Linked DNA regions of Alligator mississippiensis. The protein of the gene in region 2 interacts with the protein of the main gene of each other region in a pairwise test. Links are inferred from orthologs where the notes say so. Each region holds a gene or a part of one and is shown on either strand. Other genes may lie near its edges.

The links. The genes of interacting proteins can lie anywhere in the genome.
Region 1: the proteins of RASSF1 (region 2) and STK3 interact in binary tests that used the Homo sapiens proteins (3 or more experiments, as listed by UniProt). The link is inferred for Alligator mississippiensis from reciprocal best matches to the Homo sapiens genes RASSF1 and STK3.

Annotation. Positions count from the first base shown.
Region 1 is NC_081826.1:40,043,860-40,051,329, forward strand, and holds the start of STK3 (serine/threonine-protein kinase 3), read left to right. Parts: upstream 1-4,454; 5' UTR 4,455-4,600; coding exon 4,601-4,623; intron 4,624-7,470. UniProt on the Homo sapiens protein: Stress-activated, pro-apoptotic kinase which, following caspase-cleavage, enters the nucleus and induces chromatin condensation followed by internucleosomal DNA fragmentation.
Region 2 is NC_081835.1:43,829,920-43,836,948, reverse strand, and holds the start of RASSF1 (ras association domain-containing protein 1), read left to right. Parts: upstream 1-4,018; 5' UTR 4,019-4,249; coding exon 4,250-4,538; intron 4,539-7,029. UniProt on the Homo sapiens protein: Potential tumor suppressor. Required for death receptor-dependent apoptosis. Mediates activation of STK3/MST2 and STK4/MST1 during Fas-induced apoptosis by preventing their dephosphorylation.

The DNA.
Region 1 (7,470 bases), on a different chromosome or scaffold from region 2:
TTTAAACTCTAAACGTATACAGAATTCTAATTATATATTCTATTTAAGAAAGATATTGGTTTAGATTTATATAACTATTAAAAAAAATGATGTGCAGCAGTACTGAAAGTTTGTATGACAATTATTTTTGCATTTCTTCCTCTTGTGGTTTTAAACGTGCATATTTTAGTGTGGCTTTAATATAGTTTTTTCCACTTTTCTTTTAGACAACTGTCTGTTCTAGTATTAGCTGCAATCTGGTAAATGACATGACTAAGGCAGAACAAAGGTAATTTATTCATTAATGGTATGAGACCATCAAATGTACACAAACTTATTTAGTGTGTTTAATTCTGCGTAGTTACTGTTACAAGGAACTGTGCCTTGCAGTTCATGTTTGCTTCCCAGGTTACCATTTGGCACTTGTACGTGCTTGCAAATGAAGTGCTGTAGTCAAGCATGTGATTTACAGGATGTAAGAGATAATGCTGTTTGGGCTAACTTTCAAAGTAAGTTGGGCACCTAAATTCAAAACCATGTGGTTTTGAAAATTCTGTTTGGCCAGGGGCAGGAAATGTAGTTTGAGGCAGGGGCTTATTAGTAGCCAAGAGCTATCTTGAGGTAGGAGAGATATATGTTTTCCTGTCCCAGGTCATAGAAAGCAGTAAGAGCTATAAAGCTGTTTCTTCCACACTCAAAAAGCTTAGTGGTAGTTTGTGTAGATGTGCCTGAGCTAGGTTTAAACTTTACTAATGATGACAGAACTGGCAGCTCCAGAATGCAACACAAGCTATAAGGAGATACTCAGGCAGTTTGTTCTTTGGCTTCCCAGTTGTCACCACCCATGTGAACTAGTTTGAGTACATCTGTACAAACTGCCATCACAACTTTGAGTGGAATATAAGGACACCCCCAATCTTATGTTAATATAAGGAGAGAAATATACACCATAGTGATCTTGATTTAGCAGCTGTGGGACTTCTAATAGAAGCAGCAATTCTTTTGTCAATTATGTGATGTGAGAGCACTAGGCAGTTTGAACGGTTGGTGTCTAGGACCCAGGCCAGGTCTGCAGTACAGGCTTCTGTCAGCACAGCTATGTCAGTCTGCAGTGTGGCCCCTGACCAGCATTACTCTGCTGGCAGAACCTTTTCATGTACACACAGTTAATTATACTGGCAAGACTGCTACCATGTATATCACTTTTTTTTCTCTAAGGGGTGGTTTTGCTATACAAGTAAAAAAATTCTAGCTGTCAGTGTAGCTGTGTCCCTGTTTAAAGCCTGTTGCTGGTACAGTATATTGATGTAGCAATGGGTGTGACAGGTTTGCCATTTTGTAGGCATGTGGGGAAAGAAGTAAACATACCCTGCTCTGCATATGGTGGGATAAATATATTTAACTAGCCAACTGCCCGTCAAGAATGATGAGGGATGGGGGGGAGGGAAGTGGGCAGGAACGGAGCCCCATATGTGCCTACCCCTGGGCCCACTTCCCCTTTCTCAACCCGCCATGGTAGACCCTCCTGTGTCAGGCCTGGGCCCGCTCCTTCCCTCCCCACACTGCTGATACATTGGTCCTGCAGGCGGTGACAATGAAAGTGGGGAGGTGTGGGCTGAGGCCAGCGCTGGTGGCCTCACCCCTGCCCCCCTGCAGCCTCCTGACCCTGCTCCCCCCCACCCCATTGCCACTTCCAAGGAGAAAGGGGGGGAGGCAAGGCCAGCTTTGGTGGCCTTGCCCCCTCTACACTCCATAGTCACTGCCTGCAGGGAGCAGGGCAGGGGGGGCAAGGCCAGTGCTTCTGGCCTCACCCCCCCCCATTCTGTCCACTCCATTGCTGCTGCTGCTTGCAGGCAGCAGGGCAGGAGGGGCAAGACTGGTTGTGCTGGCCTCGCCCCCACTCCATCCCCTGTGTCCCTGCCATTAGGGCAGTGCTCTGCTGTGTCATCACCTCCTGTCCCAATGCTGTATTTGCACTCTTATTGGTTGTTTCAGTCAGCCAATCAGTGCGAATAAAGCATTATGGGCAGACAGACAAAGGCTTTTATATTAAATACTACGATGGTACAACAGAATATGATTAGGCTTTCATAGCATCCTTCAAGAGCCCACTTTGCACAAGTCAGCATTTTCCAATATGAACTGAGCCACACTAATATACTCCAAATACTGGGAAAATTGCATTTCTATCTAAATTGGCTGGCACTGTTTTGTTTACTATATGGGGGTGCGTGTGTATAATTTTTTTTCTTGAAATAGCCTATATTAGAAGCAAGGCAGCAACAACATAAGCTACAGCTTTGAAATGGTAAAGATATCTGACTTGACTGGACTTCTGCAGAAACTTGTTTAACAGTTTGCTCAGGACCACCCAATGATTAGGAGTTGTAATGAAATAAGTGAAGGTCAGTAAGGGTGGGATGTAGAGGGAAACTTTGTTTGTGATACACCAAGGTGTTTTACACTAATCATTATTTCAAACTTCAGTGTGAAGCCCCTTTGTGCAGTGAAAGCTCCAGTCCAACTGGTCTATTTTTATATTGCATAATTTAGAAAGGGAATGTGTCTTACAGGAATGTGAATCATCTCCTGCCGACTTCTGATTTTGCCAGTGACTCATGAGACCTTAGAGCTTTTGTTATCTCTTCCACTTATCTTTTGTTAGTCTTATTTAGTTTAATGGAAAAAATACCATTTACTTGCATCCTAGGGGTGTTGTGAGATTTCATTATTAGTGCCAGCAAGGTTTAATCTAGTCCAGGTTCTGAATCCAACAATATCATTTACCCTGAAAGTTTCCAATCAGGTTCAAACACTGTAACAAGCCGAGTGCAGATTCGCCTGAATGCGGCACCGATTCCCATGCATACTTTTTTCCTAATTCAACCTTCCCTTGGGGAAGGTATGTGGAAGGTGAAGTGGACACCTGTGCTTGCTTTAATTTTTTGGATTGCTCTAGCGGGCCAATCTGTCTCAAGACAGAGTATAGAGCACCTAAGGCTAGAGGTGCACCGATACATCAGTCCCAGGTCAGATTGGCACTGAGATAGGGAAAATTGCAAGTAATGGGAATTGGCCTTTTTTGCCTGATGTGGCAGATTTTAAATGCCACGTGCATATGCACAGTTGCAGCATGCACATGAGCAGGAGCACAGCCCGGCAGCTTGGAAAGCAGCATTGGTTGGTAAGCTTGTTGTGGGGGAAGGGCACATTGAGGTCCCCCAGTGAGGGAGTGGAGCTGGGGCAGGAACAGACACTGCCCAGTTGGGGCAGGGTGCGGGATGAAGCCCTGAGCAGCTGGCCTGGGGAGGATGCTCCTGCCCCTGCATGCACCCCAGGAGGCACACACCATCTGTGTGCCCCTGGATCTGCATGTGGGGCAAGGGGTGGGTTGATGCTGCAGGCTGGGGCAGTACTGGGCTCTTCCCAGTAAGGGGCCAGGCTGCGCTAGGAGCAGGGGCTATGGCGAATTCTGGGGTGGCTGCAGGTCTCCCTGTAGCTCCCCTTAGCGCCACTGCTGCCCGCCCCAAGCGCAGCCCGGCCCAGCCCCTGCCAGGAAGAGCCTGGCACTGCCCTGGCTACAGCCCGCCCTCCCCTGTGCAGATCTGGGGGCACCCCACCATGCCATCCTGGGGTGCGCACAGCACCGGGAGCCACCCTTCTCTACCCTGGATAAGCTGCTCGTGGCTCCATCCTGTGCCCCGCACCACGCCGGCTGTGCAGTGCCTACCCTGCCCCACTCCCCCCGCACCGCAGGGGCCTTGACCTGCCCCCGCCCCCCAACAGCCGTACCAGGCAGCCGGCGCTCTCCAAGCTGCCGGCCTGCACGTTCGAATCAGACTGACGTGGGTCGATATGGCACCCAAAAAATCTCCATGGGTGCACCCCTACCTACGGCTCCTCCGGGAACCTGGAAACGGCACAAAGCGGTGGTGGAGAAAGGGCCCAGACCACCAGACGTGCAGGTGTCCTGACACGCAAGCCACACACCTGTGCTTCCTGCCCGCATGCAGCAGCGGTGACTGGCCGGGGCAGCGGGAGCCGGGCCTGGAAGCCCCCTCGGCAGACAGGGCCGCGCCAGGAGCCCTTTGCCTCGGTGCTGAACGGCTGCGCCCAGGCAATGCACGCTGGAGCCGCCCCGCCCGAGCTCGGGGATGGCGAGGTCGTGCCCGTCACGTGCAGGCGACGCGAGCCGGGCCAGAGGCGAGAACCCATGCAGGAAGCGACTTCCTGTGGGGACTCCATGTCCCAGCGTGCCCCGCGGCGGCCCAGGCGGAGCGGGGCACGCTGGGAACGCGTTGGCTGCGCCCCGAGCCCCGCATTCGCCTGCTCCTGGGGGAAGGCGTTTGTTCTCGCTTCCGCCTCCTGGGTCCTTAAAGTCAAACAATTGACGCCGGTGGGACCCAATCCACTTCTTCCGCCCTGTCCCCTCGGGGCCAATGAGAGGAGGGAGCGGGTGGGGCGGGCTTTCAGCGACCAGCAGTCGGGCTGGCGCCAGCCGCGTTTGTCTGAGAGCGGCGCCCGCGGGGGAGGCGCGAGTCCCACTTAAAGGGCCAGCGCCGCCGCGAAGTTGTGCGGAGTTGGCGGGGCGGGTGTGGCTACACCCCAGGCCGCTTGCACCATGGAGCCGGCAGCGCCCAAGAGGTGAGGGCCTGGTCGGGGCCCCGAGGGGAGGGGACGGGGCGGCGGCGGCGGCGGTTGGGGCTAGGCCGCGGGCCGGGCCGGGCCGGGGGCAGCCCAGCCAGAGCTGAGCCGGCGGCGGGTGCGGCGGCAGCAGCTCCCCTGGGCCGGGCCGGCCCGGCCCGGCCTTGAGGCTGAGGGGTTTTAAACTCCTGCAAAGCCTCCTGTTGGCCGGGCAAGGCCAAGCCGGGCAGCCCTGCAGCGGCGCCCGGGCGGGCCCGTGTCCCGCTAAGGGAGTGCCGGGCTCGGCGGGTTGCTCCCCGCTTCCCTCTGCTGAGAGGGGCGTTAAGCTTTCCCCAGGCCGGGGACTCTGGGCTGTGCCAGCGCTCCTGCTGGGACCTGCGGCTCCTGGCTGCGGGGGCTTGCCCCTCTGCTCCGGGGCAGACGCATCGCCAGACGTGGGGTCAGTTTCACCCAGGGTCAGGCTGGTGAGAGCGAGGGCCCCTGTAGTGGGGGCTGTGGCGTGCCCTCTTGGTGTTCGTTGTCAATATTTTAGGGAAGCAGGCCCCTGGCTGCCCTGCTTCACCTGTGGCAGGTTGGGGTGTTAGGTCTGTGTTGTCAGGGTTGAGGGTAGTCTTGTGACTGTAGATTATGGTTGTGTGAGAAGGTTTGGATACAGATGATCCTACCTCGGGCAGGGGGTTGGACTAGATCAGCAACTGGTGGGTTGTGACCCAAAAGTGGCTCGCAAGAAAATACAAAAAGGTTGGAACAAACTTTTAAAGATGAATCAACACACTTAAAACATGGATTCTCCTTTTTAAAGGAGAAAAATGTGGGAAAAACATGGCTTTTCCCTTGCAGGCTGTCAGAGCCTGCAAAGGGCTGCTTGAGGCCTTCCATGCCCCACATCCACTCCCTGCCCCATACACCCACCCCCTGCCCCACACACTGGTGGGCAGGGGGCACTGTGTTGGGACTGGCTATCCATGTTTACAAGTGGGTCCTGGTACAGGAAAGGTTGACAAGCACAGGCCTAGACAGCCTCTGGAGGTCCCTTCCAGCCCTATGTGAGTCAGGGAGGTAAAATCAAGAATGGCTTTCAATAAGCACACTTCACCTTTTTGTTTAATTTTTTTTTCTTTGCCTGTGTCATTTTGAGCCTTTACAGTTTGTGTCTTCAAGCATGTCTCTAACTATGAACACAAGAAACTTTGTAATGAATCTTCATGTAATAATATGAATTCAAGAGTGGCTGGTGTAAATATAATGCCAAGGTCTTCTCTAAACGCGTAGTAGTATTGCTTTGGCTGTATTGGTGTAAAGTGGCACAATCCTGCCTTGATACAGATATAGCTATAAACACGCTTATATCATCTGCATAACATATTGCTGTTTCGGAAGAGGGAATAAGCTATATTGGGGTAGAGCAGTTCTATAACTGACTCTTAATTTTCTATAAAAATAGCTATAGAAGTACAAAAACTGTTTGTGGGCCAGGCTTCATGTCATGAGGCTCTCAATCAAATTTTGAGTTGGTAATACTGGCCTTGCCTCCCCCCACTTTCTCCTTGGAAGTGGTGATGGCTGCTGAGTCCTGGCTTAAATTTATGGTTGGACCTGGCCTAAGGATGTGGGGCATTGGTGGTGTTCTGTGGTGGGGGGCTTTGGCAGTGATTGCTCTCATCATGCCACCATGGAGAGAAAGTGGTGGCCACAAGAAAGCTACCAAGGAGAAAAGTGGCAGTGGGTCCTAGTGCTGGCTCACGTGCCTACCTCCGACCAGAGCTGGGTCATTCCAGTGAGAGTTGCAGGATGGACAGTATCTCTGAATTAAACGTTAGCTGTCTCAAGCTGGATGCCAAATGATAAACACCCCAAGCTGATCGCCTCCTACAGTTTTGGTGTAAGGGCTCACCTGGAGCTTAGCGTGCCTTGTTTTTGGGTTCTACCTAGTACAATAACAGCTATAGTCATGCATTAGTTTCTGTATACACTGCATGGAAATATTTAGGCACTCAATAATGTGATTCACAGGTAGCTCTGCTTAGTGTGCTGGTTTAAAATAATTTATAGGGAATGCTGATGAAAGAATGGGTTGACACTGGCACAGATAAAACCCAGGATTCCCTTGTCCAGGATGAGTATCTGAGCTAGTATGAAAATGGTATGACTCTTCTTCTGGCTGTCTTCTTGGAGAAAAGACTGGCATGGACACCTAAAGCCAGGATAGGTTTTTAAGTGTGAGAATCCCCATGGATATATTGCTGTATTTATTGAACCCATATGTTCCCTTTGCCCATGCGGGCAAGTGGCCTAATCACTAGGTGAGAGAGTTTTGCTTTCTTGATGTTGCAGCACAATGATAATTTAAGTTACCTTATGGCAAGTTCAATTCCTTCAACAGGAAGGAGAACATGCTTCACCTATAGCCTTTTAGCTGAAGCATGGGAGTTGAGAGATGAGGTTCAAATCCCTTCGAGCAGGAGAGTGTGTTTGTTGTTTTTTTTTTTTTTTTTTTTTCCTTCCTTCCCCCCCCCCCATACTCTGGGTGAAGACTGTAGTCATGGATATATTGGATAAAATGAAATCACCACCAGCACCTCTTTCTCTTCCCTTGTTTGTGTGGGATCCAATCCAGTAGGTGTTTGCTGACAATGCTTTTCACTTCAGACCCAATAGGGGGCATAGAAGAATGTTTAGTTTGTAGATCTCTAAAGAGCTTAGGAACCTAGCTTGTCCATCACTGTCAAGACAGAGACAGTTCTGGGTTTTGCAGCAGCAAACATTTAGGTGTTTGGGGAACTATAGTGGTACACACCCATGGGCCTGCAGGCTATGTTGCACTGAAGTGGGAGTTTGGAACTTTGC
Region 2 (7,029 bases):
GGAGAATTCTGATCTGAAAAGAGTTGTGAGGAGAAGACAAGGCAGCAGGAAGGGTCTGCTTTCCTAGGGAGTTCAGGCTACACCAGAACTACCTTAGTTCTGGTAAGTTGAAAGTGTTTTAACTGGTTACTCATAGCAAATGCTTTTCTTGGGTTTGTTCTTCCCCTGCTTTGGTGTCAGGAACCTGGGAGGTTGCAAAGTCAGAGGGCATCAGTCAATGTTCCTTCTGTGTCCCTTCCTGATTACTTAGAGATCCATAGCAGGGAATGACCCTTGCATTTCTGGCACTAGTGTGAGGATCCTTTCTCTGTCTCGCCAGCTGTGAAAGAACATCACAGCACATGCTGGGCCTGGGTCTCTTTTGCAATAGAGCCTCTGTCTAGAAATCAACTAGGGGCATTCAAGAGCTCGAGCTGAGAGCAGACTCCAACAGGATGCTGACTCCATGCAGGAGCGGGGATATTGCTACTTTACCTGAATCATTCTCTGAGCTGTGACTGGGACTGCAGGGCTGGGCTGGGCTGGGCTGGGCTTTAGAAAATAATCAGAGCTTGGCCTGCCTTACCCCAAACTCCCTAGGGTGACAGGAGGCCAGCCAGTGAACCCTCCCTGCAACTGTGGGAGCAGGGTAACGGGGAATTTTCATGGCTTCTGGGTGCACAATCTAAACTGGAGAGTAAGGAAGAACCTAGCCTCTTCCCAGAGCTGTGGTATGACAGGATATGGGTCTATGTCCAGTTGGCATAAGTCCTCCTCAGAGAGGTAGGGATAAGCACATTTAGAATATAGGGTTTGCTAGTGTGATCTGCCCCCATGGTAAAAGACAAACAGATTAAACAGATTAGCCACTATGTTGGAGGAAGGGAGTAAGCCCAAAGGGCAGAAAAGTGGAGTCCGATCTCATCTACCCTGTGTAAATTTGGAGTCTCCCAGTGAAATTAACAGAATTACTCCACACCTACACTAGACCAGTACCTCTACTAACTTCCATGAAGTGACCCTGAATCTATCGTAGCATCTAGAGCAGGGGTGGGCAAAATGTGACCTATGGGCCAGATGCAGCCCTCCAGGCCATTCTATCCAGCCCACGGGGCCCCTAAAAATTTAGAAAATTAATATTTATCTGCCCCTAGCTGCCTGTCATGTGGCTTGCCAAAACTCAGTAAGTGGCCTTCCACCCGAAATAATTGCCTGCCCCTGATTTAGAGCAACATGTTCACCACTGTTCTCCCTATGCAGGTGGGCAGGTTGTCTGCCTTTGGTGAGGTTTTTACATCCTCCTTTAGAACACCCAACATTGACCACACTTGTAGACTGGATGACTGCTCAGCTGAATTATTGATCTGTTCTGATGCAAGAGGAAAACTATTGTTCCTGATTGCCAATAGCACTATCAAGCCAGCAGGTGGTTAGGGGAAAATAAGTTTTCCAAGATCTGGAAGTACTGGGTCAGCCCAAGAGGAGAAGAGATGGTGACAGGAAAATCACTGCTTATTTCAGTGTCCCCTGCTTTGACCAGCTACCCTGTTAATGCTTCCTGGCAACTCTCACTCCCAGGAAATGGCTTGTCCTTAGAGTAAAAAAAAATCCAGTTCAGTTTGAGCCCGTCCTGGATATTTTTGATCTATTCATCTTGTATTTCAGTGCCAGCAGGAGCCATGCCCCCAAGGAGCTCTCTTTTCCTTGGTTAGGCCCACCCATTGCTCTGATTCTATTTTTTTCCATTGAAACCAGACAGTGAGCTGGTCAAGCTTTGCAGCTGATTGTGTGCAGGTTTTTAACTGCAATACCATGGTGACCACCAGCAACAAACGGGACTGGCTGCCAGCTGACTGGGCTTCTTGGCAGCTGTGGCAGCCACAGGATTTGTGAGGCTGGCCAGAGGACCCTGAATAAACTCCAACATATGGAGTGGCTGGAGCTGCTTGCACTCAGCCAGTGTCTTTATGGGACAAGTTCCATCTTGGGCTACCCCAGCCATTGCACAGCTGCTGCTGCTGCTCTGCAGATAATAGGCCCAGGGGGCTGGGGATGCTCCTCTCTGCAAGGGCAGAGGGGCTGAGAATCAGCAAACAGGAATTGGGTCAGAATGAAGCATCTAATGCTAATGTAGAGGATGAAGTCTGATGTCTGTAAGCTCTCTGGAGACCCTGTTGCTTTCCTCTCATCTATATGTTGTCATTGTGTGGGGAGATGGGTCCGTGAGGTGCTCTCTGCAGATGAAGGACACCCTGGAATGAGGAAGAGGAGGAGCATTATCCTCAGTGTCTCAGTCATCCCAAGCCAACTAGCCTTGAGCAGCTCAGAGAAGGCCAAGGACTGAGGCAAACCCCTTGACATTTTGGGGATCTCAAGATGCTGCCAGCTGCAAGGCCATTGTTTGAGTATGGCACTAGCACCAAGAGTCACCCCAATGAAGAGGTGGAGTCTGTCAGTGCATGAGTGTGTCAATGAGATACTTCCAGCCTTGGTGGGATGGTCCCTGTTCACCCCTCGGGGTGCTGATAGGCATTGCAGTGGACTGAGCCCAGCCTCTTACTGGTTGTTTTGGAGATTCATGGAGATAAGGAAGAGGAGTGAAGAGGAGCTAATCAGCCAAGCTCAACTGCCATTGGAAGAGGAGGAGGTAGCCTAACAACAGCCTTGTGAGCTCACCACCCATGGCGGTGAAGTCCCATGTCAGTTGGGGATCCACCCCCCAACTACTTTTCATTAGGGCTTCAGATTTTTTTTCCACTAGCCATGTTCCACACATCAAACAGATCCCTTCTCTGTGAGTGGGGTCTCTTGCAGGATTGCACAGTACAAAGCATCTCTTTGGGGGTTAAGGCAAGTGTCTCTGGTTCTTGCAATGCTGTGTTCCACAGGCCACATGCCTGAGGGGATCTTCCCCCTGTGCCCTGAGGGGAAGCTCCCACTGGCAACTGAGCTCTTCTAGGCTCTGATGTACCCCAGGTGGAAAGCCTTCCCCTTGTGATGACTCGTAGGTGAAGCAAAGCCCAGCTCCTCTTAATGAGCCAACCCACCCATAACACCCTGCTACTCCCTCCCTTGAGCCATGGACGGTGCCATTTCTACAAGTCTCTTAGCTATGTGCTTTGACCTGCTGATGGCAAGTGGCCTCTCTCAGCTCTACTTGATTTCACCTCCTTCATGGCATAAGCCTGGGCCACCATATGTCCTTTGTTGCCTGCTTCTGTCCACATTGGGTCTGGCCCCATTTCTTGGGAGACTGGTGCAAGCGTGGCTGTTGAATTCCCAGGCAGCTGCCTGGCTTGGAGCTGGGTATTAAAAGCCGTGGCTGGAGCCAGGCATCCTACCAGGAGTGTAGAGAGTAGCAGTTGCTGATGAGGCAGGGCTGGTAGGAAGCGAGGAAGGAGAAAAGATGCATTCCTGGTGCCACAGGCTGCGAGTGCGGTGTGGGGGGACTCACAAGGCACCAGCAGCAGCCCCTTTGCCTAGCTACAGGCTCTGCCCTGTGGGGCACCGCTGGTGGGAGTGAGCTCTGCAGATGGCTGCCTGCTCCTTGCTCCACAGGGAAGCCACTTCCTTCCACCCTGGTTGGACCCATCCGGGAAGGGGGAAGATGTCTGTGAAGAAGAAAGTGAGGCCTTATTCTTTGGGGTGAAAAACGAAAATGGCTCCAGCCCCATTCCTTGCCAGGCTGTGCTGTGGCAGGAAGAGGCTAATGCCATGGCACCAGTAGCGAGGGTTGTCCTCCCCCCTCAGCAAAGCCGGGTCTCACGGGCGGCTGCCAAGCCCCGAGGTGCCTTCCTCTCCTGCGGGGACACCCGTGCCAATGGGCCGCGGCAGCCTCTGGTCGCTGGAGCGGCACCCCCGGCTCTGCCCCGGGACGGGCAGCCCGGGCGTGGGAGCTCCCGGCTCCGGGCTGGCCCGACCCACGCGAGGCTCCAGCGCGGGCGGCAGAAGGGGGCGGGGAGGCGGGCGGGACGGCGGGGCGCCGCCGCCGAGGGGACGGGCGGGAGCGTGACGGGACTCGGAGGAGCCGCCCCAGGTGCCGGGACGGGGGCTCCTCGCGGGCCGCCGCGGCCTCGGCGACGCCCCTGCCCCGCAGCCCTGCCTGCCCTCGGGGCGGCTCCTAGGGCCGGGGGAGGCGGCCGCCCACTCCTGCTGCGGCCGGGCCAGCCCCCGCGGGCCGCCGGGGAGGGGAAAGTGAGGCGCGGAGCGAAGGAGCGGGGACCGGGCGGCCCTCGCAGCCCCGGCGCAGGACCGGCCCGGGTGCCCGGGGATGGCGCGGGCGGCGCGCGGGGGGCAGCAGGAGATGATCGAGCTGCAGGACCTGGCGCCGGCTCGCGGGGGGCGGCTGGAGCGGGCCAACGCGCTGCGCATCGCCCCGGGCCGGATGCCCGAGCTGCTCGGCCGCGTGCGGCACGCCCGGGCCGTCCCGGGCCAGGACCAGGGCCAGGGCCAGGGCCAGGGTCACGCCTTCCGGCCCCGCGCCCGCGGCCACCACGCCTGGTGCGACCTGTGCGGGGACTTCATCTGGGGCGTCCGCAGCAGGAGCCTGCAGTGCGGCCGTGAGTACCTTGCCGGGCCGGGCCGGGCCGGGGGCGCAGCTTCCTTCCCCCCAGAGCCGCGCAGCGACGCCCTGCGCTGTCCCCGTGGCCGGCACCTCCTGCAGGCAGCAGCTGGGCCCCGGGTGCCACTGCCGCGCGAGGGGTCAGGCGGCGGCGGCGGCACCACGCCAGGGACTGCCCGGCTGCACGGGTTGGTACCAGCGGGCTGGGGACTGGACACGCCTGAGCCTGTGGCCAGAGCAAGCCACAGCAGTTTCCCCCTTGCCCTCTGCCCTGCACCCGCCGGGCTTGCACACAAGTAGTGCCCCTCTCTGTTGGCGGCGCTTCAGGAGCACCCTGGCCTTGCACTTGCCGGCAGAGCAGTTTCAATTCAAATGTAAAAGGGCATCAAAGGAGTCTTGTTGATGGGCAGGGGAAGGGGACTGGGAAGGTCACTGAGGCCCTGTAGGGAGAAGCACCCCGTTTGCCCTTGTGCTTGACCATGCACCCATCCAGCAACGGGCCCCTTGGAAATGCCACGGAGAGAGTCCAGTGCTGCCTCCAGCTCACCATGCCCTGCCAGTGAGGCTGCCCTGAGACAAGCCCAGCACTCCGGCCGCACAGCTAGGTTTGGGCTCTGGCCCATGCAGGAGGCTCCAGGTCTCCGGTGTGAGCAGGTCCTGGTCATGCACTGTGTATATCTCCAGCATGACAGAAGTCTGTCCTCACAGGGTCACTGAGCACACTCTGCTCCGGACCCAAAAATGCAGCAGTGAGGCTGCTCCGAGTCAGCCCCACAGCTGCTTTCAAGTGTGCAGGAGATGGTGGGGCTGCAGGTGACTGTGGGGGATGCCCCAGGACAGCATCCTGGTGCAGTTCTGGGTGTGGAGCCTGCAGGAGAGAGCAGGTAGGGAGGGTGCTTGAGAAAGGCCTGACCAGGGCCTGCTGCTGGCTGGGGTCCCTGTGTCCCTGCCCCACAGCAGAGATGTAGCCAGTCAGATTTGGGATGTTGAGCCCTCTGAGTCCTGCCTTGGTGTCTTGTTGCTCTTCTGAGGGTTGTCTGAGAGGGAAATCTAAGGAGCTTCCTCAGTTAGGAATCAGCCCAGAGCCCCTGGGAATGGGAAGTCAGGAGACTTTGGGACACCGCCCAGCACAAACTAGCTTTGGGGGCTGATTGCATGAGTTAAGCCAGGGATTGTCAACCAGGGGTACGCATACCCTTGGGGATACTTGAGACAGCCCCAGGGAGTATGCATGGCGACACAGGGAAGTGGCATGTAGTGGCGGCACAGAGTGGTGAATGGTGGCAGCAGCCACCGTGTGTCACTTCCTCACCCCCCACTACCACCATTCACCATTCTGTGCCTTTGCCACACACTGCTTCCCTGCGCTGCTGGCTTTGTGTCAGGTTGGCTGTGCTGTCAGCATCCCACCCCCCTGCTCCCTGGCCAGCCATCAGCACAACCCCCTCACCGTCTGGAAGGGGGTATACTCCAGAAGGGGTACCCACTAGAAGGGGTACACTCCTTTAAAAAGGTTGCAACCCCCTGGGTTAAGCTGTTCCCTGGCACCAGGCAGAGCTGGATCCAGGGTGGGTGCAGTTGCATCTCCCCCCTCCTCTTCTTTTATTTCTGGTCCCTACACATTTTAAAACCAACTGCCTGGCAGAGGCAGCAAGATTTCTATTCAGGCTGGGGGGACAGAGTCAATTGACTTCATGTCTCATTATCATCTCCCTGATTCCTGCTAATCTGTCTCCACTCCACAAGTGTCAACAATCCTCTATCCTTTTTAAAGGTCTTGATGTTCTGCTAGTCAAACTATTCTTTCTTCTGTAATGCTGCTGTCTGTTAGTTATTTCTGGTAATCTCTTCTGTTTCACAACCCTGTAGACTTTTTAGCTCTAGCTAAAAAGCCTTAGCTCAGGTATGGTAATATTAATTTAGGTGGAGACATGATTGACTGTGAAGTATTGGGGCACTATCCAGATGCCCAAGGTGGCTAGATTTCATTTTATGAATCTGAATGAGATATACATGTAACTAGAATGACTACAGGACTAATGTCACAATATAAATTTCATAGACATTAGGGCTGGAAGGGACCTTGAAGATCATCAAGTCCAGCCCCCTGCCCTAGGGGCAGGAAGTCAGCTAGGGTCAAAGGACCGCAGCAAGATAAGCATCCAAGTGTTTCTTGAATGAGTCAAGAGTAGGTGCCTGCACCACATCTGGAAGGAGTCTATTCCAGGTCTTGGGGGCTCGGATAGTAAAGAATGTTTTTCTTATGTCCAGCCTAAAATGGTCTTGCAGGAGTTTATAACCGTTGGTCCTTGTTTTCCCATGGGGCGCTCTGGTAAACAGCCATTCTCCCAGGTCCTGATGAACACCCCTTGTGTGGCAGTCACCAGGTCCCCCTGAGCCTGCGCTTTTCCAGACTATCTTTTGACTATTTTTGCCTGGTTTGTTGTCTGTGTGTTCTTAATTTTGTATATAATCTAGCAAACTATTGC